Tamandua tetradactyla: one gene and its partners. The protein of the gene in region 3 interacts with the protein of the main gene of each other region in a pairwise test. Links are inferred from orthologs where the notes say so. Each region holds a gene or a part of one and is shown on either strand. Other genes may lie near its edges. The genes, in order: FAM204A, ZBTB44, SMYD1 and BHLHE40.

Region 1 (7,811 bases), on a different chromosome or scaffold from region 3:
TCCCTAACCTGATGGAGCGGCTATTCTACACATGTGGCAAGCTTCTGTCCATCAGCAGTCAAATATCTTTCAGCCTGGACTTCTGTTTTGATTGCTTTTGAAAGGCATGTACCTCACAGACACAGGTCTCCCACTGGACCTCTGCTTCAGCATCCTAGCAGGATAACAGTCTGTGTCCTGGGTACCCAAATGGGCGCCACCCCATGGAGTGGTCTCCATTGCCTTGAATAGGGCATGGCTTTCCTCATTAGTCCTCAATCAGTTATCCATTTTCAAATGATTTCTGGACTTTTCAAAATTATCTATTTTTATCTGTCACTGAAGTGGTGTTAAGAATTGTCTTCAGTAAGACATTTGTCTGGTATGAGAGCTATGTGCGTGTGCTCACAGCAAAAAGAAAAATTAAAATAACCTTTAAAAAGTGGAATTCAAGTCCAAATCCATAAAATAAGGCAAAATCCAAATACAGTATATGTTTGAACTCAATTCCTGAAAATCTTTAAAGTGATGTGTTATTCTGTGATTTTAAAAAAAAAACACATTGGCAACTCAGTGGTCATAAATAACAGCTTCCACTCACTCCGTACCCGCACCGTGGAGCTGTCTATGTGACAAGCAGTTCCACCACAAATAAGTCAATGGGGGTGGCTGCTTAGTGACTTTTGTTTTGGGGTCATGTTTGAAAACAGTCTTTCTAGTCACAGAATGTACATATCATTCATACATTTTCAGTTGGCACCATGTCAGGTTTCTTATTATTCCTGTTCTGGCTGCTCTGGAGAATGATTTTCTGCCTTTCAAAGTATATTCCTTTATTTTAAAGCAGATAATTCCAAATTACCCTTTAAATGTGGTGAAAATTCACTCAGCTATTCTCAAGACACGGAGTACACAGAGAAATAGATAGAAACTTAATTTTTTAATGCAGATTATAGCTAAGCCCATATAACAGTTCATATATCAATTCATAAGCTTTCAGTTTTTAGCATGTAACTCAAATAATTTTAATTTAATCATTCAGTCCCCGCTACACTTCTCTGGGTCTCCATTCTTAAGCTATAAAATGAAAGGTTTGATCAGATGATCTGTGAGATGCTTTAGAGCTCTAAAACATTTCTTTATGGATCTTAATATTATGTATGCCCCAAATGCACTGTCACCTCAATCCTTGCTGCAACACTCCTTGCTCTCCCAGTCAGATGCAATACCGATTAAGCCCCAAGACCCCAGTAGTTAAGGTTCCTCTCCTCCACCTAGCAGCCACCGCCAAAATTGCTAGTTTTCAGGACTCTGCACTTCAAACAGATGCTCTGTAGAAAGTGAAGGGAAGGAAACCCCAGCTACGACAGAAGAAACAGAAGCAGAAAGAGGAAGCAAAAGCAGGTCACTACTACATATGGCATACAAACAATGTGACAGGCACTGGTTTACCATCCATCCTCTCAATGACCCTTCCACTAGGAATTAACATCTATACCCCTTTTACAGATGAGTAACTGACTTGCTTAATGCATTGTGATAGACCTAATGCACTGTGCTCTGTTTATTTTACACAATGTTCAGAAGGCTATGGGCTTAAATGATAAGCTTTTAGAAAGCATAGTCTAAGTAGAATTATACTCTTGAAGACAGATTTGAGAGCAGGTCTGAAGAATACGCTAGATTGTTGTTGCACAGTTGTTTTTAAGAACAGACAGTTATGTAAATTGCTATGCTTATTTAAGTGACATCCATCAAAGTCACATTCAGAGGTCTGAGTGAGAATACTATATTTTCTGGAAGATCAGACAGCTGTTCATAACCAAAACCCAAAAGATATAATCTGAGCAACTCAAAGAATGACTCCTGTTTCTAAGAATCCAGAAACTCAATTCAATTTTCATCAAAGCTGTCTGATTCATACTTGTATCCAAGTTGAAATTATCACAGAAATCTGAACTTGTCTGAACTGAATCTAATCTTACTTGCATAACAATCGTAAATTACCCGCCCATCAATCTGATCATGTTAAGTAATGTTAAACAATAATCAGTTTTTGTGACTTGTAATTAATTATTTAACTATAATATTTTAAAGCATGTATCATTAATATTAACATTAATGGAACTGCTGTATTTACTTTCATGAAATGAGTTCTCTTTTCTCAAAGAGACACAGAAAGAACAACTGAATCACAGGCCCGACTTCAAATCTAAGTTACCAGCCTGATTACCCAGACAAAGTATTTATTTAGCAGAACTTCTGCATGTATGCTTGTTCTAATTAAGGGGGATGCTTACTTGCTTGTCTAGTCAAGGCCTGGAAAAACGGGGACAAACACTTCTTCAGACCAAAGACCCTTCATGCAAAGATTTACAATTAACTAATAACATTTCAAGGATCATTTTAAATCGGATGTCGCTGAGAATACTTACAAGGTTCAAGACTTTTGCAAGAGGGTGGCTCTAGAAAAATACACCTTTTCCTGCTCGGCTGCACAACCCGGAACTCTGCAGGCTCTCCGGCGGCAGTGCCACAATTCAACCCCCAAACGGGAAGAACGCTGCAGATTCCGGTGTAGAATCTCTAGGCAGTTGACAATTCCAATAACTGTAGGTGTTTCCCGGGTTACTGCAATTGTAAACATGAGCTGTTTCCCCTACCGAGAACCTTACCCCCTCTCCCTCTGGCTGGGGTGGGACGGAGAAACCCTCTCCCACTAACAGGCTGGGGAAAGCACCGCGACGCCCCTTTCGAGGAAAGCCGAGGCCAAACCCGCCGACCACCCCGTGGGCCCGGGCTGAGGGCTTCTGTAGCCTGCCTCGGCCGAGAAGCTGTGAACCTGCCCAACTTCGTCCCTCGTCTGCCGAACTGGTAACTTCCGGACCTGTCTCGCTGAAGCTCGAGAGGGCCCGGAACTATCCCGGCAAAAGGCCTACTCACCAGTTAGGAACCGGCCGCCTAGCAGCCATCTTAAGACGCCGTCAACATCCTGCCTTCTCATTGGCTCTTACATCTCAGCCAATAGGATGGGGCCGTTCTGGCTACAAGGTCGCCATGGCAACCAGCCTCGCAGCGCACTCCTAGACTGGAATAAAGGAGGTTGCTTGTTTGTTTCCTCCTCTTTTCCCCCGTTTTCTCCTTTCATCTATGCGTCTTTGTAGGCTTTGGCCTTACTTCCTTCCCTCCCTATGCCAGTGCGTCTGGGTGGGGAAAGTGCTGGTTTAGAGATTGACCTGACTTCATCCCACGGGAATAGAGAATCGCTGCAGACGCTCTGTAGGCCCTTCTGAACCGTTTTCATTCATTCATTCAGCCTTTTTGTCTCCTTTGCTTTTTCCTCCTTCCCTTCCTTTCTGCCTCTCCTCTCCTTTCTGCACATATTTAGTGAGCGTCCGCTCTGTACCAGGCACCGTGACATCCTTTGTTTAAGAAAGTCCCAGTTCTGTTCTGAAAGTGCTTACCGTCTGGTGGAGGCCCAGCTGTTTGATTGACTATTTGAATTGTATGGCATGGCCAAAAGTTAAGTGCGCTTTACCGCGCCAAACACTGTTTTAGGTCGGGGTGGGGGGTGGGAGCGGGGAGCGGAGGTAATAGAAAATAAGCACCAAAAAAAAAAAAAAAAAAAAAAAACCCAAGTTTTAAAAGGCTGTGAAGAAAATAAAAAAGAGGGGTGTGATAGTGATGGGAGGCGAGGCTATTTTAGAAATCCTTTAATTTTTCGAGATTGTTTTCTGGAAGAAGATGGAGCGATTGGCGAGAGGACTTGTCGATCTTTTAGTGTGATGACGATTACATAAGAAAATGCACGTGGAATCCTTAGTACGTTACCGGTCCTACAGTAATTTCAAGTCTTAGCTATTTGTTGTTACTGTTGTTATTAGCAATAAAAGCATATCATTTAACTGCTCACTATGTCTTCGAGATGATGTGCCAAGATGTGGGGTTTCCTAAAACCCCAGCATCAGTAAAACCTGAACTCACAGGCTTGGGGCTAGATAACTAAGTCCCACTCATGCTCACATTCTGATTGGAGATTCTAGAGTGGAAGCAAGGATAAATAATTTAAGGGTCGGTATGAAATCCTCCTAGCTAAATAATGTATCCAGCTTCTTAATAGGGTTTCCCTTGAATCCAAATCCTTAAAAAGTTAAGGGGTTAAGAGCAAGGATTTGTATGAAAGTGCTTTTGTAGATGTTGTATTAGGGCTTTTACCGGTGATGGTAGAAGTGTCACTAGAATGGGGAAAGAGGGCTGAAAGGCAAATATTAGCTAGTCTAAGAATGATCTAGATTGTTTCTAAATATATTCCATGAGAGTATGCTCATTATTTATTGCATATAAATGTGCAATGGATAGAGGAGGGATATAATTATAAGCACTCCAAACACTTAAAAATTCCAGATTTCATATCAAAGATTTTTGGAAAGTCCAACCTTCAAATCTATGGATTTTAAAATCAGGTGTTCAGTGTAAACTGGGAAAGTTTCGTATATCTGATTGTTGACTCTATGACATCATTGAATTCCTATAATAAACTTAAAGAGCTCAGCCTTTTCTTTGGCTCCTGGTCGTAAGAGTTTTATATTTTTGAATATTATTGTTTTGCCAGTTTTCTGGGAAAACATCAGTCATTTGATTTATTTTAAGCAATAAATTTACTTTCCCTCCAGCAAATTCCTGTCCTGGAAACCTGCCAAGCCATGCATTTTGTGAATGAAATACTTGGATCTGTAAGGTTTCTATGAAACAGAGAATTGTTGAATATCTTTAACTAAATCATACTGAAATACCTGATGCAGCTAGTGAATTGTGCTTTAACCGTGTTGCATCTGGCACTAATTTCAAACATGTAAGTTTCATTTAAATTCTCAAACGTATTTAAAAAAATCACAAAGCAGTTTTTCTTTGCCAAGAAATATTATAGTTTCTGAATAGTTTTTCATTATATTTTTCATTATATTTTTTTCTTAGTGTAGAGATTCCAAGTCACGCCATATTTTAAAAGATTAATTGTGAAGTACTTTCTGGTGTCTGCTCACTCTATGATTGATGAAAAATTCCCCCAAATATAATGAAATCTCTTAAATTTTTCTCAGTTGGATAAAGTAAATATACCTTTGCTGAACATATAAATGTGCTTCTTGCAGAAAGAAAGAATAGTTAATTCCCTACTGTACAAAATGCCTCTTTTCTGCATTGAAGAAAAAGTGATTTAGTAAGGTATGCAAAAAAAATAGAAACCAGGGAGTTCTAAATTTCCTTCATGACTAACCAATGACAATTTCTCTGTCTGGATTTGTTTTTAAACTTTGCAAACAGACATATCTGCAATGTTAATTTACATGGAATATGTTGAAAAACTAACACCATGACATGGGCAAGATTTGACATTTGAGGAAGAGAAATGTCTGTACCATAGAATGTGACCAAAGAAAAATACCTTTACTTCACTGCTCATGCCTATTACTTTCAAATTCTTCAGGTCAAATAGGTTGCACGAGAGGGAGAGAGGGACAACAGAAGAGGGAGGTTTATTGATCACTCTTGCATGCTAGGTACTTTGCATCTATTATTATTATTATCATTACCCTGTGAGGTAGTGTGCTGGTGTGAAGGTATTATGAACCCCAGAAAGGTCATGCTTTTATCCTGAGTCAATACTGTGGAGGCTGCCGTTTCTTTTAATCCAGATACAGTCATGTAGGCTGGAATCCTTTGATTAGATTAACTCCACGGAGTTGTGACACACCCTATTGTGGGTATTAGCATTTTATTAAATGGAGATGTGACTCCACCCATTCCAGGTGGGTCTAGATTAGATTACTGGAATCCTTTAAAAGAGGAAGCATTTTGGAGAGAGACAGAAACAACAGAAGGACAGAAGCCTCAGAGCTAACAGAAACTTCAGAGCAGAGCCGACAACATGGAGAATAGAGACACGGATGTTTGGAGATGCTTAGAGCCCAGCAGATGTTGCCATGAGACGCTAAGCAAGCCAGAACCTGGAGAGAACCAACCGAAGCCAAGATATGAAAGCCAGCCTTGGAGAAGTGAGCAACCCCTACAGGAATAGGGGCTGAAGGCACTGGAGCCCAGGAGCAAGAGACCAGCTGTCAGAGGTGTTCCTGACCCATTGGAATTCCTTGAATTAAGGTAACCTCTTGTTGGTGTCTTAATTTGGACATTTTCAAACTTGCAACTTATTAAATCCCCCTTTTAAAAAGGCTTTCCAGTTCTGGTATATTGGGTTCTGGCAGCTTGCAAGCTAACATAGGTAGTTATTATTGTGTCCATTTTACAGATAAACTAAGGCTTAGAGAGTTTAAGAAGCTAGCATAATGTTACACTAGTACAGTGTGGAACCATGGTGTTTTAGTTTCCAATGCTGCTCAAGCAAATATGCAACAGTTTGGTTTAAACAATGGGAATTTATTTGCTTACAGTTTTGAGGCTAAGAGAAAGTCCAAATCAAGGCATCATCAAGGTAATGCTTTCTTCCCAAAGATTCATATTCTGGGGCTGGCTGCTGGTGATCCTTGGCCCTCAGCTTGCTACTTCACAAGGCACATGGGAATCATCTCTTCTGGCCTCTCCCTTCTCTCCTGGGTTCTATTTGTTTTGGCTTCTGGCTGCTCACTCTGCGGCTTTCTCTATCTGAATATCATTCTTTTATAGAGGACTCCAGTAATAGGGTTAAGCCCCATCCTGGGCCACACCTGAACTGAAGTAACCTCATCAAATGTTCCTACTTACAATGGGCTCACACCCACAGGAGAGGGATTCAGTTTAAGATGTTTTTGTTTCCACATGTTTTTGTGGAGTATATACAACTCCAAATCATCACACAAGGTGGGGAAGTTTCACCAGAATTTAAAGTTCAAGTTCTTCCCACTGTCACAAACTACCTCTTTAAGAGGAGGGTCTGGATAAATCCCAATGCAGTGCAGTCAATAAAGTATAGACGTCATTGCCCCTAGGGGATGATATACCTAGTGGGAGCTCATGAAAAGGGAGGCTTCAGGAGAAAAGTGTCGCCTCTTCCTCCTCAGTACCTAGCAAGTGATGCAATCCCATCAAAGGTACCTCTTTGATTCTTCTTCGTTTGCTACATTGAAGTCTATGCTAGTGTCCCCTTTCCTAAAACCTTCTCCCAGAACACCCCACTGCCTGATTAATCTCTCTAATGAAGGGCCACATATACAGCTTTTAAGGCAGAGCCTGGTATGTGGTCAATGCTCAATAAATATTAGTTTCCTTCCCTTACACATACAAATGAAGGATGACATAATTTTGATATGTTATCAGATTGATTTGTGCCCAATGCTCAGCATCAGGCTAGGGATTATAGAGGATATAAAAGAAGTATATGAACTGTCTGGATGTCTGTAGTCTAATTGATACATATAACATTGTTGTAAATGATATATTCTTTGTCATAATTACAAAAATATAAGATCTATGATATAAGTAAGCCCTACAGAAGTCCTTAGATTGGAAAAGTAGGCTGGATGGAATTTAGCACTTTGTATTTTCTTTGCCTGGAGTACCTTTACTATTCTTTACCTGTTAAATTCCTCTTCATCCTTCAAAACCTAGAGCACTTCCACTTATATTCTGCATTCCATTTTATGAATTCACCCCAACCCTTAGGGATATGTCCTTTACCATGAACTTCCATAAAATACCTTTACTTCTTTCAAACTCACCACAAACATGTTCTATGTTACCTGTTACCTCCTTTCCACCTTCAGCACCACATCCTCAATACATTTGAAACAGCGACAGCAACAAAGCCGTACTAGGTCAGCTAGGGTGGGGTGGGGTGACCT
Region 2 (7,369 bases), on a different chromosome or scaffold from region 3:
CAATTTAATCATCAAAAAGAACCAAGACTGCAAATGGCTATAAAACAATTAATAAAGAAATTAAAATCCTTGTGTCTACAGTGTTAGGCCTGGAGGACAGGACCCCTTCCCCTATAACATGACCTACCCCTGGCAAATATTTCAGAAAGCCTCTCTCACCCCGATTCACACCAGCCCGCATCTCCTTCACCCTCCAGCAGTCGCCCTCTTGCGATAACCTCACATTACTCAACCTCCACCCTCTGGCATATTCATTCTTGCAGTAAACTCTCCTTACTCAATATCCACCCTCCGACATTTACAACCTTGCATGCCTAAAGCAGCGCTTAAATTTTAAGCTTTACCAGTGGAAAGCTGACAACTCCAAACTTAGCCCCCTGTTTCTGAAAACTAGCCAATAAGAACCTGCCTAACCTTTGCCCCAACACCCTAACCCCAACCCATGAAAACCCTATCTCCTGACACCTCCGGGGCAGCTGTTTCTCTCTTGAAACGCTGCCACTGCCCACTGCCCACTGCCCACTGCCTCGGCGGCCCTGTTTCTTCTGAAATAAAGCCTCTGCCTGAATTCCTTTGTTCCCAACTTATTTCTGGCGAGTTTGCCTTTCACATAGTGATATGAACACCCCCCGCCCCCTCCACCAAAAAAAATTTTTGTTTGCCACCATCAGAGGTTGACTATTACCCTGGTCTTGACTCTGAATTTTGATGATGAAAGGGAAGAAGTTAAACATTTAACCTGCATTTCAGGAAGACCTTTAGTATATGCCCAGGTATTGAAGGAAAGGAGAAAAGAAAATTCTCCTACAGAGAATCTCCAATAAAATAACTGAGGGTACTCAAATCATTGAACAAAAGGTAGCTATAAACGGATTATGGGCTTGGTGTCATTATTACACACTAATCACACCAGGGTGATTAGATAATGGAGATATCTGGCAGTCACCACTTCAATAAAGACAGATGAAATCACGTAATGCAAAGTAAATAGCATCACCTATAAAAATTCTTGCCCCCAAAAAGTTTACTTCAAGCTAATCAAGTCTTCGTTGATTAACTTCCAGCTAACACAAATTCAGAGGATAAAGGAAAAAGTTAAGTGATACTATGAGGAAATAATTCTAGAACGTGGGAATGCCACAATATTCAAAAGTCAACTGCTTTGATCTCAGATGTCCGAGAAGGAAAAACAAAACAAAACAAAAACTCAACAGTGGGGAGTGAGTATGTTCTTTTTAAAAAGAGACCAGATACAGCGCATGAATTTCAACTGAATCCAGCCAGGAGACAAACTTTTTGCTATGAGGAAATTTGGATAGGGATTGGAATCTTAATGTTGATAGATGTGGTAATGATACTGGGGTCAGAGAACATCTTTACTTTTTGGAAATGCATGCTGAAATATAAGTGTCATGATGTTTGCAACTTACTTTCAAATGGTTACACACACAGAAGAAGGGGGGAACAATGCAGCAAAAACGGTACTCCTCAATGTTGATGGTGGGTAATAATTGCATGTTTTTTCCTGCCTTCGTACAGCTGAAAATTTTCATAATAAACTTAAAAACATTCTAACTCTATTAGGAGATACCTGTAACTCCTATTAGGAGATACAGTAGAAAGTGCACCTATCTACACTGAAATTATTTCTGGGTTTAAATTTCATCTCTTTCACTTATTAGTTGTGTGGCCTAAAACAAGTTACTTAACATCACTGTTTTTGTCTCATCTATAAAATGTAATACCTTCTTCATTAGCTTGCTCTGAGAAATAAGATTCCATAGTAAAATGCCTAGCACAACGTTGCATACAAGTAAACAATTTCCATAATGACTGCAATCATCATAAACTACAAGAATAAAGGAAAACATTCCTTTCATTATTTTCACATTCCAAGATAAAGAAACCACATTTAAGGTAAAATTAAGTACTGGGCGGTCCAAGTGGCTCAGCAGGCAGAATTCTCGCCTGCCACACCGCAGACCCCGGGTTCGATTCCCGGTGCCTCAGCCCATGTTAAGAAAAAAAAAAAAGTAGTATTAAACCACCGGAAGTTAAAGTAAAATAATACGGGATATGAAGATTCATATAACTTTTTTAAATCTCAGAATTTCAACTGATACCCTAGACAAAAAGGAAAATTATAAAACTCGTCACCTACATAAAGTATTTGCTTCAAATTGTGTAGTTTGCTTTTGGTAGTAGCCTACATACGAAGAAAACACTAAGAAAAGTGAAGTTAAAGAATGTTTTCCTGACTCCAACGCACATCTACGCCCTTGTTGAAAAATTTTAAGTCGCTGTCTTCATTGAATAGATCCATTCCAATAAAGTACACATTTATTGGGTTTTCGACTAAATTTGGATTAAATTCCGGTGAGTTCATAGAACTCACACGGATGCAATTTCATCATTTCTAACGTTACTTGTCACTTCACGAAACGCAGGAAACCCCTTGCTCTGGTTAGGCCGGCAGTAAAATGACTAGATGGAGGATGATCTTCAGGTACAGCAGGAAAAAAAGGTGTGATTAAAACAAACAAACAACAACAAAAAAGTGCCAGCCTCTTTCCAATACCAGACAAGGAGCGTGGCAGAGTGGGGGTGGGGGGAGTCGGGTCAAGGGCTCCCACCTAAAAATCCCCCCAGGTGAGCGGCGGTAACCTTTGGATCAGGGTGCGCAGACTGAAGATCGGGATAATTTCCCCCGAACCGCGTGGGCTAAGACCAGTTTCCTGCCTCAAGGGTTAGAGGCCATCGTGGAGAGTCTCTGTGTGCGCGTGGAGGGGGGGGGGGGGTGACAGACAAGGCTCCCCGGTCCCTACAGCGCCCGCGCAGTGTCAGCCCTGCCGAGGGCGCGCCCGAGGGACCGAGCGCCGAGAGAGGCCGGCCATCCGCGCTCGCCTGCCCTCCCGTTACCTGCGGCGGCGGTGCCAGGCCCGGAGGCCTACTGCTGCTGCTCCTCCTCCCGCCAGGCCCGGGCGGCGGCGGCGGCCCGGGGGAGGGCGGGGCGCGCGGCTGGCTCCTGGTCCCCCCCGGGGGCCGAGGCCCTATCTCGGGCCGCCGCGCCGAGGCCCGTGCGCGGCCTGGTGCTGGGGCATGGCGGCGGGGACGCCCAGCGCGTCCCCGCGGGGAGTGCGCGCGGCGGAGGGTGGCCGCGCAGCCCCGGCGGCCGGCGGGCCCAAGGGGCGGAGCGAGGGCCCAGGGGGCCGCGACCGGCGGCCGTGGGGGCGGGTGGCCGCAGGGAGCGCGGCGACGGCTCGCGTGGTCCCGGCGGGGCGGGGTGGGGAGGGGGGGAGGGGAGAGAGGGGAGGGGAGGGGAGGTTGGGGAGGGGGAGCCGCCGCCGCTCGTGCGGGCCCTGCGCCGCCGCTGCTACCGCCCGGCTCCCTCCAGCCGGCTTGGGGGGCACTTTGTTTGTGTCCCACAATGCTGTGCGCCGGCGGCGGGGCTGGCTGGAGGGGCGGGGCGGGGCGGCCGCACGGACTTATCGCGCAGGCGCAGAAGGGCTGCCTGTCAGGCCTCGCTGGCGGAGCCGGGACGCGGGCGGTGTGTTTGCCCGGGTGCGCGCGCACATGGGTTTCCACGTGCCGTAGGAGCGCCCCCCAACTCGTCCCGCCTCCGCTCAATTTGCTTTCCACTTGGTAAGATCCGCCTTTTTCGGCGTTCTGCACGCAGCTCGCACTTCTTCCCTATGAATTAAGCAAAGAAAGGCCGGTTTCTTCCAGTGGTTTTTGCTGCGGGGCTGAACCCGGAACAGCACAGCCCGGACCCACCGGGGAGGTCAAGCCTCTCCTAGGGAAACGCTGCCGTGCAGAGGCGACCCCGCAGCCGGGAGAGGGGTCCGAGAACTGGCTTGCCCCCATGCCTTCCGCCACCGCGCCTCATCCTCAGATGACACCGGCACTTTATTTGCTGGGCACCCCAAAGTGGCGGTACTGCTTGGGGAGGACTCGGGGAGCGTGTACCATGTTCAGACTCCCCAGTCCCTGGATCCGAACTTTCCCCCATCTGGCCGGCCCCTCCGGGCCAGGACCCGACGATGAAAAGGACCGTCCCGGCTGCCCCGCCGAGACGCCCAGGGGGAGGGCGCCTGCCCGGACCCTCGAGGCAGTGCGAGGGTGGGATCCTGGTAGCCAGACGCGCCCCGGGCTGTCTTCATTTGCATCTTTTGTTTTCCCCAGCTTCCAGCCTTTAAACAGAAAGATTTCTCTCTCAAGTGCTTTGTTCCAAGTGGGTTGACGTTCTGAAGTCCGAGTGAATTACTCTTCTGAAACACTTGTCGACATTTCGCATTAATTCTCAGTGTGAGAGACTAGCAACCAGGTACCCTAACACCCTAATCGTAACATTTGAAATCTGCTTGAGAAATAAAGACAACTTTTAAAACCTGCTAATTGTATCCTCCTTTACGTTTCCATCAAGTTTTCAAATAACTAGGATGTTAATTAGTCTTCACAACAACACTGATACATGAATTTAATTGTTATTCCCACGATCATCTTTATTATTCCCATTTCACAAACGAGGAAAATCAGAAAGGTCCGATTTAGGTCCAGGCATTTGTGTTCTGAGTTTTGTTTTTGTTTTTTAATGATAATAATCATTGTACTAATATTAGCATTTTATGTTTACTTTTTTCTTTTTTACTGGGAGGTTTGTTCTTTTATCCTCCTGATTTTACTTTACGGCTGGAATGAGTTGCCCAAGGAGAGAAATGAACCAGTAACTCAATTTTAATGAAATGCAGAAGATCGGCCTCTAGGTATTGACCCTATAGTTTCTTAAATGCAAATCGCCGGTTTAAATAATGTTAAATAGTTCTGAATTTTATACACAGGATTTCTGTGTCTTATTAATCAGGACAGCCTTCTGGCAGCGTCAAGACTTGCACAATACTGTAGGAATTACATGATTTTTTAAAAAAAATTTTATTGAGAAATCTTCACGCACATACAATCCATCCATAGTGTAAGACCAATGGCTCACAATACCATCACATTGTAAGAATTCGAGAGTTTTGCCACGCAAAGGAGGACTCCAAGAGACGTTCTCTCATGCAACACCCAAAGGGGTTTATTTACCACACATGCGTGGGGCTCACTGAACGCGCAGGAACAGAGAGCCCCGAGCCTGGGTTTGGGGAAGCTTTTAAGGGGTAGGAGGAGGGGGGTGAGGGTCGAGCATGGGTCACAGGTGCTGCTTCATGCAAGAAGTAGATAACAAACACTTTTGCAAGAAGCAGATAAACATTTTTGCAAGAAGCAGATAACAAACATTTTTCAAGCATGAGTCACAGGAGCTGCTTCATGCAAGAAGCAGATAACCAACACTGTTGCAAGAAGCAGATGACCGCCTCTGGGAAGTCCCGGGTTGTTTTTCTTAGCCTGATGGGGCCCATAACTCTTTTCTTTACAATTCTTAACTCACACCAAATGCATAGCAGTGAATATAAAATGACACAAATGCTTTTGCTGGATATTTCTATCATTCAGAAGCTAAAATATATGTAAATAGCTAAATTAAGCAAGAAAAATTAGCTACTGTTAAGCTTTTATAAAATCCTTCTTTACATCCTTAGTGTATTCTCTCATCTCCTCTTTTAGTTTTAAAAGCTGCTAGCTTTCTCTCCTGGCTTCTTGTTTCAGGAACACCCCCAGGGGTGTCTTCCTTCTTATCTCCAAAGGTCTTTGGCTGCAGGGGCTCTGTTGGTTCTGGTGGCTCTTAAGCTTTTTCCAAAATGGTTCCCTCTTAAAGGGCTCTGGTAAGCAACCCCATCTTGAATAGGTGGAGACGCATCTCCATGGAAACCATCTAATCAAACGTTACCACCCACAAATGGAAACAATCAAAAAGTATTCCACCCAGCAATACTGAATGAGGACTAAAGGACAGGGCTTTTCTGGGGTACATAAAAGCTTCAAACTGGCACATCTCTTCACTTGGTTCCTCCCTTTAGTACTTTTCTTTTTTCCTTTTTCTTTTGAAATTGGTGTCCTACTCTCACTCCACGCCCAGATCTGGAGATTCAATTCATCCTTAATTGTGGAGCCCTCAAGGGCCCAAACAATGTTAGATGCTTGGAGAGGGTGTGAGAAAATATACAAAGATTATTGCAGGTAGCCATGTCTCTGTTTTGGCTTTGGGCAGGGTCGGTTTCTGGGGCTTCTGCCTGCTGCGTTCTACCTTTTCTTTTACCAGCTAGTAGAGACTTGCTGTTGGGCTGCTGGAATAGATTCACCTTTCTTTGGCATAGGTTAAATAATACTCCTGGGAGGAGTTTGTGAAACCAGAATTCTGAACACAGGTGATACAAAGGTAGATAGTATGAGGAACCTTTAATTATTAACCTATTGTGGATGATTTGGAGGAATTCAAATTCCAGTCAAACAGGTTTATTTCAACTGTAGCTGTTTGGGGACCAAATTCAGAAAAAGATGGCACTTTCTCAGGGTTAACTATTAAAGCTGAATGGAAACTTATTTAGTCCAAAACTTCTTCCAGAGAAAGAATGTTTTCTCCTCATGAGAAAGAACCTTGTTTGACTTGAGCAATTCCAAAGGCAGAGAGTTTCTCATGCCACATGTACCAGCCTTGCTCAATTATCATATCGCTCCAACTATATTTAAAAGATTAATCTCAGGCGCATGGATGTGGTTCAGTGATATAATGTTCGCCTGCCATACAGGAGACTCATATTCCCAGCCCATGTGTGTACATACACACGTGTGTGTGTGCGGACACATGCAAAAATTAAACTCTTTCCTACCCTCAATTTGCACTTCTGGTGTTTCTATTTCATCCTCTACCCAGTTGAGCAACACAATGCAACTACACCATATAGAATAACAGATACCCTGTGTAGTAGATTGAGTTGTGTTTGGGCCCAGACCAAGTTCATCCACAGCACGTGAGAAACATGCCAGGTACAGAAGTAGACATAGATTTATTGGAGGAGAGGTTCTCCAGTGGCAGCTGGTCTGGAAGTTTAGTGCTAAGCAAGGAACAGGGTTGGGGTGGGTGCAAGGAATAATACATGATTTTAGAACAAAGACATTCCATGCAGTAAAAGGACTTTGGATATCTAGTATAATCATTAAAGGGGACTAAGACCTGATGTTTTACTAAGATTAATGTTTAAGACTAAGATACAATCAATGCTGTTTTTCCATCCGTGGTTATGTTCTTCCCTTCTAGGCTAAAGCAGGTTTGTTATAGGCCATGTAGGGGGGTCCAGGCCCTGGGCTACAACAAACAGTCGCCCACAAAAGACATATTAAATGCTAACCCCTGGTCCTTTGGGTGTGGACTCATTTGTAAGTGGGAACTTCAAAGATCCTATTTAGATGAGGGCAAATTGAATCAGGATGG
Region 3 (6,928 bases):
CAATATCATCCACATTTTAAAACTTTAACTTCTGTATGAGACCAAAGGGAGAGATGTTTAGTTGGTGCTAAATTTACATTTTGGGCAGCATATTACCTAATTTATCTTGTATGCTGACTTTAGCTGAATACCATAAGAACATGGAATCTTGTTGGTTTGCCCAGGTTATTGTGAAGCCCTGATACATTCCAGAGTAATTTGGGCAGAGAACAGATAAGTATTCGCAAAGTCCCCTAGGAGGACTTGGGGGGCGGGGGAAAAGGAGGAAATTTTCAACTTCCCCATTTGGAGAACTCCTGATATTCTCTCCAGCAGTGGGGACAATCAAATCAACAGACTTAGCCCTCATTCTTGGGGCTTGCCCTTATGAAACTTATTCCTGAACAGAATAAGCTCAGCCTACTTATACCTATGCCTAAGAATCACCCCCAGAGAACCTCTTTTGTTGCTCAGTTGTGGCCTCTCTCTCTAAGCCAACTTGGCAGGTGAACTCACTGCCAAAAAAAAGTATTTGCAAAGTCCCCTTCGGGGAATGGTGAGAAAGGGGGAAAATTCAACTTCCCCAAGTTGAATTCTTGATATTCTCACAAGCAGTGCAGACAACCAAAGCAATAGGCTGAGCCCCCAATCTTGCAGTTTGTTCATATGAAACTTAACCCCAAAAAGGATAGGTCAAGCCTATTAAAATTAGGCCTAAGAGTCACCCCCAAGAGAACCTCTTTTGCTGCTCAGATGTGGCCTCTCTCTCTCCAGCCAACACAACAAGCAAACTCACTGACCTCCCCCTGTCTTCGTGGGACATGACTCCCAGGGGTGTGGACCTTCCTGGCAACGTGGGACAAAAATCCTAGAATGAGCTGAGACTCAGCATCAGGGGATTGAGAAAAACTTCTCGACCAAAAGGGGGAAGAGTGAAATGAGACAAAATAAAGTGTCAATGGCTGAGAGATTCCAACCACAGTCAAGAGGTTATCCTGGAGGCTATTCTTATGCATTTAATAGATATCACCTTGTTAGTCAAGATGTAATGGAGAGGCTGGAAGGAACTGCCTGAAAATGTAGAGCTGTGTTCCATTAGCCATGTTTCTTGAAGATGACTGTATGATACAGCTTTCACAGTGTGACTGTGTGATTGTGAAAACCTTGTGTCTGATGCTCCTTTTATCTATCTTATCAACAGATGAGTAAAACATATGGAATACAAATAAATAATAGGAGGAACAAATGTCAAATTTAGATTGAAATGCTAGTGATCAATGAAAGGGAGGGGTAAGGGGTATGGTATGTATGAATTTTTTCCTGTTGTCTTTTTATTTCTTTTTCTGAATTGATGCAAATGTTTTCAGAAATGATAATGATGGTGAACATGCAACTATGTGATGATATTGTGAATTACTGATTATATATGTAGAATGGAATGATCATAAGTTAAGAATGTTTGCATTTGTTTATTTTTTTAAAAATTAAAAATTAATAAAAAAAAAAGAGTTACTGTGGCTAAGAGATTTAAGATAGAGCCAGGAGGTCATTTTGAAGGTCAGGAGGTCATTTTAGAGACAACTCTTACACAGATCTAAACAGATATCACATACTGCCACAGTATGCAAATATAAATGAGAAGTTAAATTAAGATTTAAGGAATGATTATGATTACTAAATCATTATATAGATATTCCTTTTTCACTTTCTGGTATATTCGAGTAGACAGAGGGAAACACCTGAAATCTCTGACCTATAATCCAGCTGCCCTTGTGATTATAAGGACTTTGAGGCTACTTTCACTTGTACCCACTTATCCAGTTCAATTTTAAGAGTCTTACGATCACTAAAGACAGCCCCTAATGTTTATTAATGAAGGGCCTTGGGTCAACCCAGAAGTAACCACCCCAATTCCAAACTTATCTTGATAACTGAAACTGGACCTAACTAAAATGGTCTGCCTGACATGTGTAGTAGTTTAGACTTTAAGCTTATAAATGACCTAAATACTAAAAATTTTTAATACTAAAAACCATGCCCATCACCATACTAAGGCCGCCACTTTCTTACATACATTCTATGACTAAGCATATAATCAACCTGCATATGCTCAATAATTAGATCACCTCTAATTACTTCATTTGAAGCTACTGTGCTCATTATCCTAATACCTGTCCATCTTTTTATACTGTAAAACTATCAGAATCACTGTAGTTTACGGAGACAGATTTTGGGGCTGACAGGCCATCTGATCCCCTGCAGGCTTAGTAATAAACTCTCTCTTTGGAAACACCGGTGTCTCAAGAGCTGGTCAGGCCTCTGTCTGTTAACACAAAGCCCCATGTAACAATGTTCCTGAAAACACTAGCGATATTGGGGCACCATAAACACACCATAAGACAAAGAACTCAGTTAACTACCCTGTAGGACAACTGGAGTACCCCCAGTAATGACCAACCACAAACAACTTGGGTAATCTTCTCTTCCTTTAAAAACCCTTGCCTGGAAATGCCAAGACAGAACATGGTGGGGTTGCTGTCTGAATCCGTGCTCTCTGAATTGCAACTCTAAGACCCCTTTGTTGCCTTGCAGCTTAGTTATTTCACGTTGGCAATGATGAGATTTATACATATACGTACTTATACGTGTGCGTGTATGTGCGAGAGAGAGTATGTGAGGGATAACGGTCATTTACAGGTCAATGATGAACAAGGACGGCACCAAGACCAAGATTTATGCTTAACCTACTCTCGTGCTAAAGGTCAAGCAGACAAAGTAGGGGACCACATCTTCTTGAGACTGTTTCGGAGGTGAGCTCCGCGGACTTACGACTTCTTTCTCCTCAACAGGCTCCACGGTTCCTCCAGAAGCCGCGCCATCTAACCGGCAGCCCCAAGCGTATCCTTTGGGCGGGAGGAGGGGCGGCGGGGCAGCAAAAGGGGTGGAGCTGAGGGGCGGGGCGAGGGGCGGCCGTAGGAGGTGGCGAGGGGCAGGGCTACGGGGAGGCGGAGGGACGCGGGCAAGGGGGTGGGGCGATGTGAAATCACGTTCCGGCCATCACGGCCGTGCGGCGACCCGCGCACGCGCATTAGTGCGCCCCGCCGCCATGGTGTGGGTGCGGTCCACTCACCCGCGGCCGGTGGCGGCGACTTCCCCTCAGGAAGTACAGTCTCCGCCTCCTCGTCCCGCACCGCCTGCTCGGCGGCGGAGGCGGTGGCGGCGGCAGCGGTTGTCCCTGCCTCCGCCACCTCCACCCCGGCTCGCTTCCCGGCCGGCGGCGTTGGCGGGGAGGGGGACAGTAGTTTGTAGACGCCCGCCCCTGCCTCGGAGAAGGTGAGTTCCCGCCCGGCGGCGGGGGCGGCCCGGCCTTCAGCCCCTTGACTCCCCCGCTCCAGCCCGGCCGCGCCCCGAGTCCGAGCGTGCGACATGGCCGGCCCGGGCGCGGCCGGGGTTCCTCCACTCCCCTCCCCGTCTCCCGGCCTCGGAGAGGGGCGCCCAGCGCAGCGAGGAGGCCGAGGTTTGGGGGGACCCGAGCGGCCCGGAGAAGGTTGAGCCTCTGAGAGTCGGGGAAGGGAACGGTGGCTGAGTGGAGAGAGAGAAGGACAAGTCGCACCCTGAAAAGTAAAGATCTCTCGGGGCGGCTCCAGGAGCAGTGAGTTAGGAGTTGAGAAGTAGGAAGTAATATGGGCACTTTAGACTTGCAGGGTCCCGGGGCGGAAGGAAGACGGAGGTATCACTCGGGAAGGTTGGTATCACTTGGGAAAGTTCCTTGGCCTTTTGAGGTATGGCCCTGTAAAGACAAGCTTTTGATGTTTACAGGCCATCTTGATAATGATCTGAGTTTTCCTCTGTATCCATCAACACATTACCCCCAACACAAAACTCTGTTTCTTGGCCATCTCAGATAAACTAAGATTTGAGTTTCTACAAAATACCTGCCAGTCTTCCGGCTGCGTAAGGCCTTGAAGCAATCCTGGGAATGGCTTGCTGTGGTGGCACTTAATCCAGTTGCAGATCTTGGTATTTACACTGTGTCCTGATGTTGCTTTTTGACTCAGTGAAATATCGGAAACCAGAAGACTATTGAAAACTTTAGATGCTTTTTTCCTGGAGGAATACCCATAAAATAATGTAGTTTTCACCCTCTTACTGGGTATATGGCATTCCTGTGTGCTACTCCATAAAACTTTTACACCTTTCGCTTTGGAGGAATGACAAAGCAATTATAAATCTCTTAAAAACTTTTCTATAAGCACTTCATATAAATGCCGTTCACTAAAAATGCTGCGATGAGGTGTTCTATATAGTCTCTCAGTGAAGGCAACCTTTGGAAGACTAGATTCGTGTCTTCCTTCAGCCTGGATTAGTATTCTGAAATAAAAAGTAAAATCTTCTGGGTTTTTTGTTTTATACCAACGAAGTACATAGCTTGCTGTGTCAAAGACTTCAACTCAGTCTGGCTCCCAGGGCTGGATCACAGGAAGATTTGGAAACAGCGTCTCATGGAAAAACTGCTTAATGCCACACTGGACATTTTGTTTTGTTTGTTTATAATGTCTTTTAATACATGCAATTATTAAAGACAAATAACTCAGTTCACACAATGTTAGCAGTAACCTTTCTGTACCTCCTCAAGGTGGTCAAGTGAGAAAACTGGAGGAGTCTGGCTAGTATAGGTTCTGGTGCTAGGTGCTCCAAACTTTCTGATCTTTGCCTTGGGAGGATTGGACTAGCCCATGTCCGGGTGGTGATTTTGTCCCCCCTACCCCGGGAACTTTGGGAGTGTCTGGAACATTGTGGACTGTCACCACTGTGATTGGTGGTTGCCCCAGGCATCACGTTGGCAAGGCAGGGATCCTGTAAAGATCCAACAGTGCACAAGATAGCTACAACAGAGAACTATCTACCATAAAATGACAGTAGTGTGCAGTTGAGAAACCCGGAACTATCCACACTCTGAGGTCCCTTAGAGCTTTAAAATTGTGAACTATGATTTCACAATTCCCAGTTGTTTTTCTTTCCATAGCATGGCTGTGTACTAGAACAACAATTCATAAAACATAAGGAACTTTGACCTATAAGGTGGTCAGATGGCATTCAAAGAGTAGTAAAATCTGTGTTCAAATTAAGAGTACTTGCTAGAATTTGAAAAACAAAATACAATAGTTAACTAAAAAATTACCTCCTGTCACTGTATTTCAGCTAAAATCCTTTAACTGTTCAGTTAACTACTCAGTTAGCAATTAGGTAAATATTTCATATGTTAACACTGCTTAACACACTCAATATATTTTTAGTTTCAATATTTATAAAAGCCTTTAATAATTGCCAGTTATAATGGATAAACAGGAAGAGGAAAAAATGTTTCTTGGTACTTTGCCAGTATCTTTTTCTTTAAGACCTTGTTAGAAGATTTATCCCAAACATATCAAAGAATTATCATGCTTCCGGTTACTACAGTTCCACTTTCACTTTGAAGATCCTAATAGGACCATTAAAAGTGATTTGAAGGCATCTGCCAATCTATTTTCACAAACTATAGTGATAGGTATAATAGTTTATAATAGTTATAAACTATTATAATAATCAGTAAGGATTGGAAATTGACAAGCAGGGAAGAAATACAAACTGAAAGTTTACAAATAGGAAACAAACTCAAAATAAAAACCCGAAGAAATACGAAATGGCTAGACTTACACGAAAAGAAATATACATACCTAGAATTTATGGTCAGGATGTCAAAAAATTTTCCAGGACACTTAATAATTTATTCAATGGAGTTTTTTATATTTTTGACATAACAGTGAATTTTCACCGAATCATGATATTCCTGAGTAATCATAGTAAAACAGCAGCAAACAAAAACTTATTTATCTACCTCTTTTAAGGAAAAAAGGAATGAAGTAGACTCAGATTTAGAGTTGAAGGACCTTTCTGATTTATTGAATCATTAAAGCATTTACATAGCAATTGCCTAAAAATGCCTACTTTTGTTTCCATATTAATCAGAGATTCAAGTTAAATGGCAGTGAGAAAATGGAGCAAATAGCCCTCTTAACATTTATTCAAAAAACATTTATTCAGCTGCTGCTGTGTACCAGGTATTGTGCTCAATATTGAGGATGGTTTGGTGAATTAGGCACAGACAGCCCCTTTAAAAGCCTCTGCTAGTGCTTGGTAGTGAAATTAGAAGGAAAAAAAAAGATTGGTTGGGGGGAAAATGTGATTTTACGTATGGATTAGTAAAAGACTCCTAACCTCTCAGGAGTACCTTGTTTTTCTGCCCATGACATTTTATTTGCTACAGGCACACCAGAGCACACTGTTGTAAACCTAATGTTGGCAGCTGGGAAGACAGGCTGGGGAGGCGGGCTATCTGGAGAGACGTTAATGATAGTTTATTAGTTTCAAATCTGCTGCCTTTACTAGGTCTCAGCATGTGAATTAAAGTGACTAACTTAAACTTGCCCTTACTGTATTCATCACATGTTAGGACATAAGCACTGAGATTTTTTCCCCCTTCTTAATAGTTCTTACAGATCCATTCACATTTACTAACCCATGGGAAGGAATGGCATGTGTTTGATGGCTTTCTGATGAAAGATATGTGTCTTGACTCCAAACAAAACTAATGGATTTACACAAGAATCTAATTTTACAAGCATGACCTGAGCTAATTTGCCACGGAGTACTTAGGATTATTGCGTTCAAAGACTGAGTTTAAATAAAGACATACATTTAATATTAATCATGTAGCTAGTATTCACAATTAATGAATTGTTGATTTTTTTTGTATTTTGTATTTGGAAATATGACCTGGTTAACCATTATTCATTTTTGAGATTGTTGTATTAGTGAAATAGTTAGAATTTAGCAAACTCATAGGTCAGATACTAATCTTTTCCTGAAAAGGGAAGGTTAGTAACTAGCATTAATAGCTCAAGTGTGT
Region 4 (7,110 bases), on a different chromosome or scaffold from region 3:
AAGTCAGGAAAACTAGCTAACCCTGAAAAGCACTAAAAGGGAAAGTCTTAAACTCTTAAAAAAATGGAGGGGAGCCAATGTTGGAGCCTATTATTTGGAGACATCCTAGTGGTTCTCACCTCATTTGCATGAGGCTTCCAGAAAATCCCAGGGCTGGGAAAGGTGGACGGAACACACTGAGCCACCGCCCGTGAATCCGGCTGTCCGGTCTGCAGTTCCCCGCAGGGCCTGCAGGCGGCGAGTGACCCCCCCCCCCCCCCGCCCACCCCCGCCCGCCCTCGCGGCAGAGGAGCTGGGTTGGAGAGGGGCCAGCTTCTCACTTACTGTAAGTTTGAGATGTTCGGGTAGGAGATCCTTCAGCTGGGCGATACACTCGTTAATGCGGTCGCGTCTCTTTTTCTCTATGAGCCGGTGCGGCAGTTTGTAGGTTTCCTGCAAGGCGCACGGGGAGACAGTGGGCGCCTGGGTAACGGGATGCGAAGCACCCCGGACGCGAGAAGGGTCGTGCAGGGGAGTAGAATCGAAACCCAGAATCACCGCCTGCCGATTTCCCCCCAAGTACTCACTAGAGGCACCGAGCCCGCATCTCGCATCCCCTCCTCCCGCTAACCTCAAAGCGAGAAAACTTTTCTTGGAAGCTCAGAACGCAGGAGGGGCTAGGGCGTCGGGTCCTCAGGGGCACGATGCGCTTACCTTGCTGTCGTCGCTCCGCTTTATTCCCCGTCTCGACTTGTACACTTGGTACATGTGTGCAAAATCCATCCTGCAGGGAGAGGTGCAAAGAAGGGTGGTGAGTTTGCCTGCGCACGGGCTGCGGCCACTCTGGGGGAGCAAGAACCCCAGGACTACTGGAGGTGCTCGAAGTTGAGAGAAAAGAACGCCGCAGAACGTAGGGCTGGAGTTAGGGTTTGAAGTGGTCAAGGGGTGCCAACTTACCCTGGTAGGTCTCCGGGCTCAAGTCCTGGCGTTTTGGACAGGCAGGCGGGGGGCGGTTGCGCGCTGGGGATACGCTCCATGGCGCGGCGAGCCGGGGCCACTACGCGCTCCTCTCTGCGCTAGCCGGGCGTCGGGGTGAAGACTGTCCTGGAGGGGGATTCGAAGGTCTCTCCTCTGGGAGTTTGAGCTCTCTGAAATCCACCGGGCTGCCAGGAGCAGCGACTTCGCGGCGCTGCTTCAGTTGGGAGCGTGCATGGCCCGGTGTTCCCGCGGTCTCTGGCTCCGGCTCTGCGCACAGACTGGTGGTGTGTGCTCCCAGTGCCGTCTGCGCCTTGCGAGCCAAGTGAATGAGAAGTGGGGCGGGCGGGGAGGCGGGAGGGAGCACGGCGCGGGGTGGGGGTGGGGGGGGGAGACGGTTAGGGCGGAGTGTGTGTGTGTGTGTGTGTGTGTGTGCGTGTGTGGGGCGAGCCGAGGAGTAATGGAGAGGCGGCGGGCTGGGTTAAAAGGGAGCCGAGTGGGTGGATTGGAGCTACGTGTTCTACCCTGTGACTCCAGGCACGTCTGGCCGCTGCCGGGGAGGGAAGGAGCGACCTGCCCGCCCTCCCCCGACTTCATCACATGAGCCTCACGTGTTGGACAAAGCTCCCGCGGCTGCGAGGGAGCCCCCACCCCCAACCCCGGCCCCCAGGTGTCTGCGGCTGCGGCCGCCTTTCCCAGAAGAGGGGGTGGCAGTGTGGCCCGGGTCCTGCCCAGCCGGGTGGGGGGCGCGAAAGGGACCGGGGAGCTGGGGGAGGGTTGGTAACGTGGGCGAACCTGCCCCAGGGAAATGAAGTAAGTTCCCGTCTCCCGGGAGGGAACGGGGGAGGACGGATCCGCCCGCGTCTGACTCAAGCCAGGAGAGGAATATCCCCTCGATCGCTCCGGCCCAACCCTCTTCCTTCTCCCCCGCCCCGCCCGTTCCGAGGAACCGGCGCTCAGCGCCGGACCCCCTCCTTTCTCCAGACGCTGGGGGTTCTTTGCGCCCCAGCTTCCCTGCCCCCACCCCCCAGCCCCGCGTCCTGGAATCGCCAGCCGTGGGGAGGGACCGAGGGGCGGGGCGGATGTCACCCCATGGGAAGCGGGCTGGCGGCCAAGCACAAGGGCAGCCGAGGCCGCCGCGGAGCACGCTGCGCGCACCTGACCGTGGAGGGTGTGCGAATGGAGCCCCTTGCTTCCCGGGAGCTCTGCTCCGGGACACAGCCTGCCGGCGGGCGGGCACCCACTTACGCATCCCACTGGGTGCCCCGATGCCCCCGCCCCCGACTCCATCTAGTTCAGCGCGGAAAGCAACCCGGCGCCGCGCATTGCGCTCCTTCCCCTCTTCCTTCCCTCCCTCTGCCCCCTCCCGAGCAGAGGCTTCCCGGGTCTCCTCCCCTCCGACTGCAACGTTACACAACTGCGGTGGCGGCGCTTGCCCTGCAGCAGCGCAGGGCGTGACGCTTCACGTGGCCGGGGCTCGAGCCGCAGCGCCGCAGGCTACGCGCTCCTGTGCGCGGGCCCTGAGGCGGAGACCCCGGGGACGCGGGGTGCCAGCCCTGGCCGGCGGTCTTCCCGCCTACAAGGAACTTCAGTGCGGCTCTTTGCGGTCAGCACTCATGGCAGGAGGAAAGAGACAAGAAAAATCTATTCGTCCATCAGAATCAGAACTTAGCATTCTTTCAGGCGACGCACATTTATTGAGCCACCTACTCTATGCCCTGCTAGAGACAGCGAAGGTGAATCAAACACTGCCCTGGAACTTACAGGGACCACCGGGAGGAGGATAAATTGGGCAATGAGGGGAAGGGAGTCCGGGGAAAATTATATTGGGACCACTGACCGAGGAAAAAGGACACAAAAAAGGTTTTTTTAAATGCCGTTTTAAAAATATGAACCAAGAGGCCCGAAGGCGTCCTTCAGCGGCCGGATACTTCTGCAATCTCACTTGGGCCGCCCGAGGCCCCCGCCTACCTGCCCCGGAAAAGTCCAGTGTCCGTGACCTTCTAATTCAGCCTGGAGCAGGGAAAACGGCTGAAACTCCAACCAAGCGGTGTGAGCCGCGCTGACATCGTCAGAGGAGGGAGCTAGTGGAAATTCATGACTAAAATAAGGCCTGGCTGGGGTTTCACTGACCTCTGCGCTCCCCTGCCCTGAAAATTCGGGTAGTTGAGAGATGACTGTAAGCCTTTCCCACCGCACCTCCGGCCAGCACCCCGCTGCTGAGTGACCTAACTGTGGGAAGGGTTGACGGAAAAAAAATTGGGGTCACTGCCGGGATTGGGTGAAGAATAGCCCCGGTGCAGTTGCGGGAGGGGGTGGGGGGAAGTCCTAATTGGCAGTGTCCTTGACAACCTAGAGAACTGGGATTCACACGTTGGCCAAGCTGGTGGTGTATACCCTTCAGGTCGCTTTGGAGAGCTCCCACTTCCTGTTTATGTTTCACAAGCGTCAAACTTATTAGCAAGTGTGAGAAATGCCTCCTTCCCTAACTGCTAACTAGCGTGACCTCACTTCGGGGGCTGCAGCGATCCCTCCCTCCCGGAACGTACTTTTCTTATCAGCCATCTCTGGAGAAAATGACTGCAGCTCGATTTCCCGCCTGGAGGGGAGCAGCAGGACCAGAGGCTGAGCGGGGGCTGCAGTAGTCCTGGGTGTGCGCTTTCAATCTACCGGTGACCCGCGCCACCGTGTGACTTTAATAAGGGTGAAGAGCTGTCATGACTGCGTCAAAACCACTTCCACCTGGAAGTAAGTACTAGGAGAGGAAGAAACACATGTCCCCTGGCTGTCACGCCCACCCTCCCCCAAAGCCAAGTGTGAACCTAAACATTTCAGTTTCCTTAATCATAGCTCATGACAATATCATTTTTAGAATTCTTTGACCTTAATATATTTATTTTTGCCCTCATCTTTCCTACAATTGAAGATAAACTGTATGCATTGCCTACTTTTTATTTGCTCCAAGCCTCAAGAAGTATCCCCACTCCCCTACACACACACACACACACACACACACCAAAGATCAACCATATCTGGATTAAAAAAAAAAATCTGTTTCTGTCCCCTCCATAGTTTATAATTATTTTTTATTAATTAAAACAAAACATTTCCTTTCCAGCATTCGTCTTTCCATCCTGAATAATCTTAATGTTTTTAATCCCTCACTTTTTGTAGATACTTGCTTGGTGATTCTGTATGCTAATTTTAGACTGTATACTGAAAACTTTATATATGTTAATCTCACCACTGCTTTATAAGGCAGGCACAGATATTAGCTCCTTTTTACATTCGTTTAACACATGTTTATTGAGAACCACTATGTGACAGACACTGAACTAGAACAGAAGGATATGTAATATACCTCTTAGGGAAGCGGACGCTCAGAGACGTTAAATAACCTGTCCCTGGTTACATAGCCTGGGACAAGACCTGGGACTAGTGTTCAGGTCTATTGAGCTTGAAATCCTGGCAGAGTTGTGCAGGTTGTACACTGCTCAATTCCAGGGGGAGCCATTCACACTCAGTGTGTGTAAGAGCACCCTCTGGAGTTGTGCAGTGTAGCAGCAAGCAACTGCACTGGGTAACCCTGCCATTTTGTAGCCCTACCCTCTGTTTTGTCTTTTTGGAGTGAGGAAAGAATGTAATTTTGTACAAGGGAAGGACAAGATTTTTCTCTTTTCACTCCTAGTGGGGCTCATCATCTGTAGGGACTCCTTGATACCTCCCGAGCAGGAAGTAAGAGCCCACAGCACCCCCGCCCCTCCTGCACGAGCCCACATCATTCTTGCTCAAACATCACTTTTTGCTCATTTACAGATCCTCAATATTTTTTATCACAGCCCACAATGAAAAATTCATTTTACATCATGAGTCAGCACACACGCAAATACACACCCATGCACACATGCATGCACACACATCTTATGTACATTTACACAGAGGGAAGCCGAGGCTTGGTTGGGCTATAGCAAAAAGCCGCCACTACTCTCTCTCCCTTATTCCTGAGCAACTATTGCTCATTTAAAGAAAAGCCAGTTCAATGGATTCCAAACAAAAAATTCACAAAACAGTATTTCCCCTTGGTATATGCAATGCATTCTTATAGTTCCCAGTCTATTTTATTAAAAGAAAAATATTCTAGTCTTAACTTACTAAATTGATTTCACAACTGACCAATAGATCCTAATATGCAATTTGAAAACACTGCTCTAGACTAGAGACAGTGTTGTATTTTTGGTTCCACCACCGCCCCCCCGCCCCCAAGAAAGAGATCAGTAGCATTTGCACAGTTGAAGATCTTACAAGAGTACATATAAAAATATTAAATGAAACTGCTTCGACCACTGGTCCTGGTTTGATTCAATGGCTTAGATGTCTCTCTTCAGGAAAGCACCTATTAATTCTTACTTTGTTTCCTTTGTATAATCACTTTCCTCATTCTCTGATCTTTTTAAAAAACTGTTTTTAATTGTTTTATCGGGATGAAACTAACCCAGTTAAAGGGACAGATCTTAAGTGAATTTAGATAAATGCATACATCTGTGTAACCATTACCCCAAAACAAGATACAGAACATTTTACTATCCCAGACAGTTCCCTCATGGTACTTTCCAATCTATAAAGCCCCCACCCCCAGCCTCCCACCTATCCCCCAACACAATCATGTTCTGATTTTTATCACAGTGAATAAGTTTTGCCTTGTATTGGAGTTCATATAAATGAATGTGCTCTTTTGTGTAAGGTTTCCATTGCTTACACTGTTTTTGAGATTCTTCCATGTTGTTGCTTGGATTAATAGATCATTCTTTTTTTTTTTTTTTTTACTGAGTGTTTCACTGTATGCATATAATACAGTTTGTTTCGTGTGCATATAATACAATCCAGTCTGCTGCTGATGGGACATATGGGTTGTTTCCAGTTAGGAGCTACTTTGAATAAGGCTGCTATTAATATTCTCTTACAGTTCTTTTTATGATCATATGTTCTCATTTCTTTTGGATAAATACTGAAGAGTGGAATTGTTGTGTCATGGGTTAAATGCATGCTTAGCTTTATTGTGAGCTGCCAAACATCTCCAAGAAGGTGGTCCCGTTTTACATCCCAAAGGCAGTATATGAGCATTCCAGTCACTCCACATCCTCACCGACATTTAGTCTGGACAGATTTTTTTTATTTTAGCCTTTCTAGTGGGTGTGAATTGATGGTGTATTGTTTTAATTTGCATTTCTCTGATGACTAATGAGGTTGAACACCTTTTTCTGTATGCTTCTTGACCATTTATATATCTTCTTTTACGCAGTATTTGTTCAAGTCTTTTACCCTCTTTAAAAGCTATTTTGTCTTTTTATTGTATATAGAAGCACAGTCCAGTTTTGTATGTTGGCTTTGTGCCTTGCCACCTTATCCTTTTACTGTTGACCTACAGAAGTTCCTTATATATTCTAACTCCAAGTCCTTTGATAGAAACATACACTGCAGATATTTTTCTCAGTCTATGCCTTGCTCACTAATTTTATTAATGATGCTCTTAATGATAGAGTTCAATTTATTGATTTTTTGTGGTTATTTCATGTATGCTTGTCTTTTTTTAAAAAAATTGCCTGCCCCAAGATCATGAAAATATTCTACTATATTTTCTTCTAGAAGCTTTATACTTGTGGTTCTTATATTTAGGTCTTTCCTATCTCAACTAAATTTTTGTATATGGAGTGAAAAAGAGGTTGAGATTCTTTTTTCCTTTTTTTTGTCCCAGCAACATTTGAAAAGACTTTCCCTTCCCAATTAGATAATAGTGTGGTTCTATTTATGTACTCTCTATTTTGTTCTATTAACGTCTTTGTCTAGGTTTTCATACTTTTGTTTGTTTACTAAAACTTTATAGAAATCTTTAAATTGGGTAGTGTAAGTTCTCCAGCTTTTTTCTTTTTAAAGATTGTCTTCACAGGTCCTTTACATTTCCTTATAAATTTTAGATCCAGCTTGTTTCTTTCTTCAAAGAAAAATTGCATTGAATCTATAGATCAGTGTAGGGAAAAAAGATACTTAAACAATATTGAATCTTCTGGTCTATGAAATGGATATAGCTTCCCATTTATTTAGGTCTTCTTTAATTTCTTTCAACGATATTTTCAGTTTTATGTGTAGTTGAATTCCATA

Evidence for each region.
Region 1: the proteins of SMYD1 (region 3) and FAM204A interact in binary tests that used the Homo sapiens proteins (3 or more experiments, as listed by UniProt). The link is inferred for Tamandua tetradactyla from reciprocal best matches to the Homo sapiens genes SMYD1 and FAM204A.
Region 2: the proteins of SMYD1 (region 3) and ZBTB44 interact in binary tests that used the Homo sapiens proteins (3 or more experiments, as listed by UniProt). The link is inferred for Tamandua tetradactyla from reciprocal best matches to the Homo sapiens genes SMYD1 and ZBTB44.
Region 4: the proteins of SMYD1 (region 3) and BHLHE40 interact in binary tests that used the Homo sapiens proteins (3 or more experiments, as listed by UniProt). The link is inferred for Tamandua tetradactyla from reciprocal best matches to the Homo sapiens genes SMYD1 and BHLHE40.

The regions. Positions count from the first base shown.
Region 1 is NC_135339.1:80,716,001-80,723,811, forward strand, and holds the start of FAM204A (protein FAM204A), read right to left. Parts: upstream 3,005-7,811; 5' UTR 2,923-3,004; exon of another isoform or gene 2,611-2,922; 5' UTR 2,415-2,610; intron 1,311-2,414; exon of another isoform or gene 1,161-1,310; intron 1-1,160.
Region 2 is NC_135334.1:5,832,252-5,839,620, reverse strand, and holds the start of ZBTB44 (zinc finger and BTB domain-containing protein 44), read right to left. Parts: upstream 3,005-7,369; 5' UTR 2,920-3,004; intron 1-2,919. UniProt on the Homo sapiens protein: May be involved in transcriptional regulation.
Region 3 is NC_135343.1:60,149,551-60,156,478, forward strand, and holds the start of SMYD1 (histone-lysine N-methyltransferase SMYD1), read right to left. Parts: upstream 3,002-6,928; 5' UTR 2,859-3,001; coding exon of another isoform or gene 2,809-2,858; intron 1-2,808. UniProt on the Homo sapiens protein: Methylates histone H3 at 'Lys-4' (H3K4me), seems able to perform both mono-, di-, and trimethylation. Acts as a transcriptional repressor. Essential for cardiomyocyte differentiation and cardiac morphogenesis.
Region 4 is NC_135335.1:44,547,009-44,554,118, forward strand, and holds the start of BHLHE40 (class E basic helix-loop-helix protein 40), read right to left. Parts: upstream 3,005-7,110; 5' UTR 2,926-3,004; intron 1,268-2,925; 5' UTR 1,017-1,267; coding exon 937-1,016; intron 764-936; coding exon 694-763; intron 433-693; coding exon 325-432; intron 1-324. UniProt on the Homo sapiens protein: Transcriptional repressor involved in the regulation of the circadian rhythm by negatively regulating the activity of the clock genes and clock-controlled genes.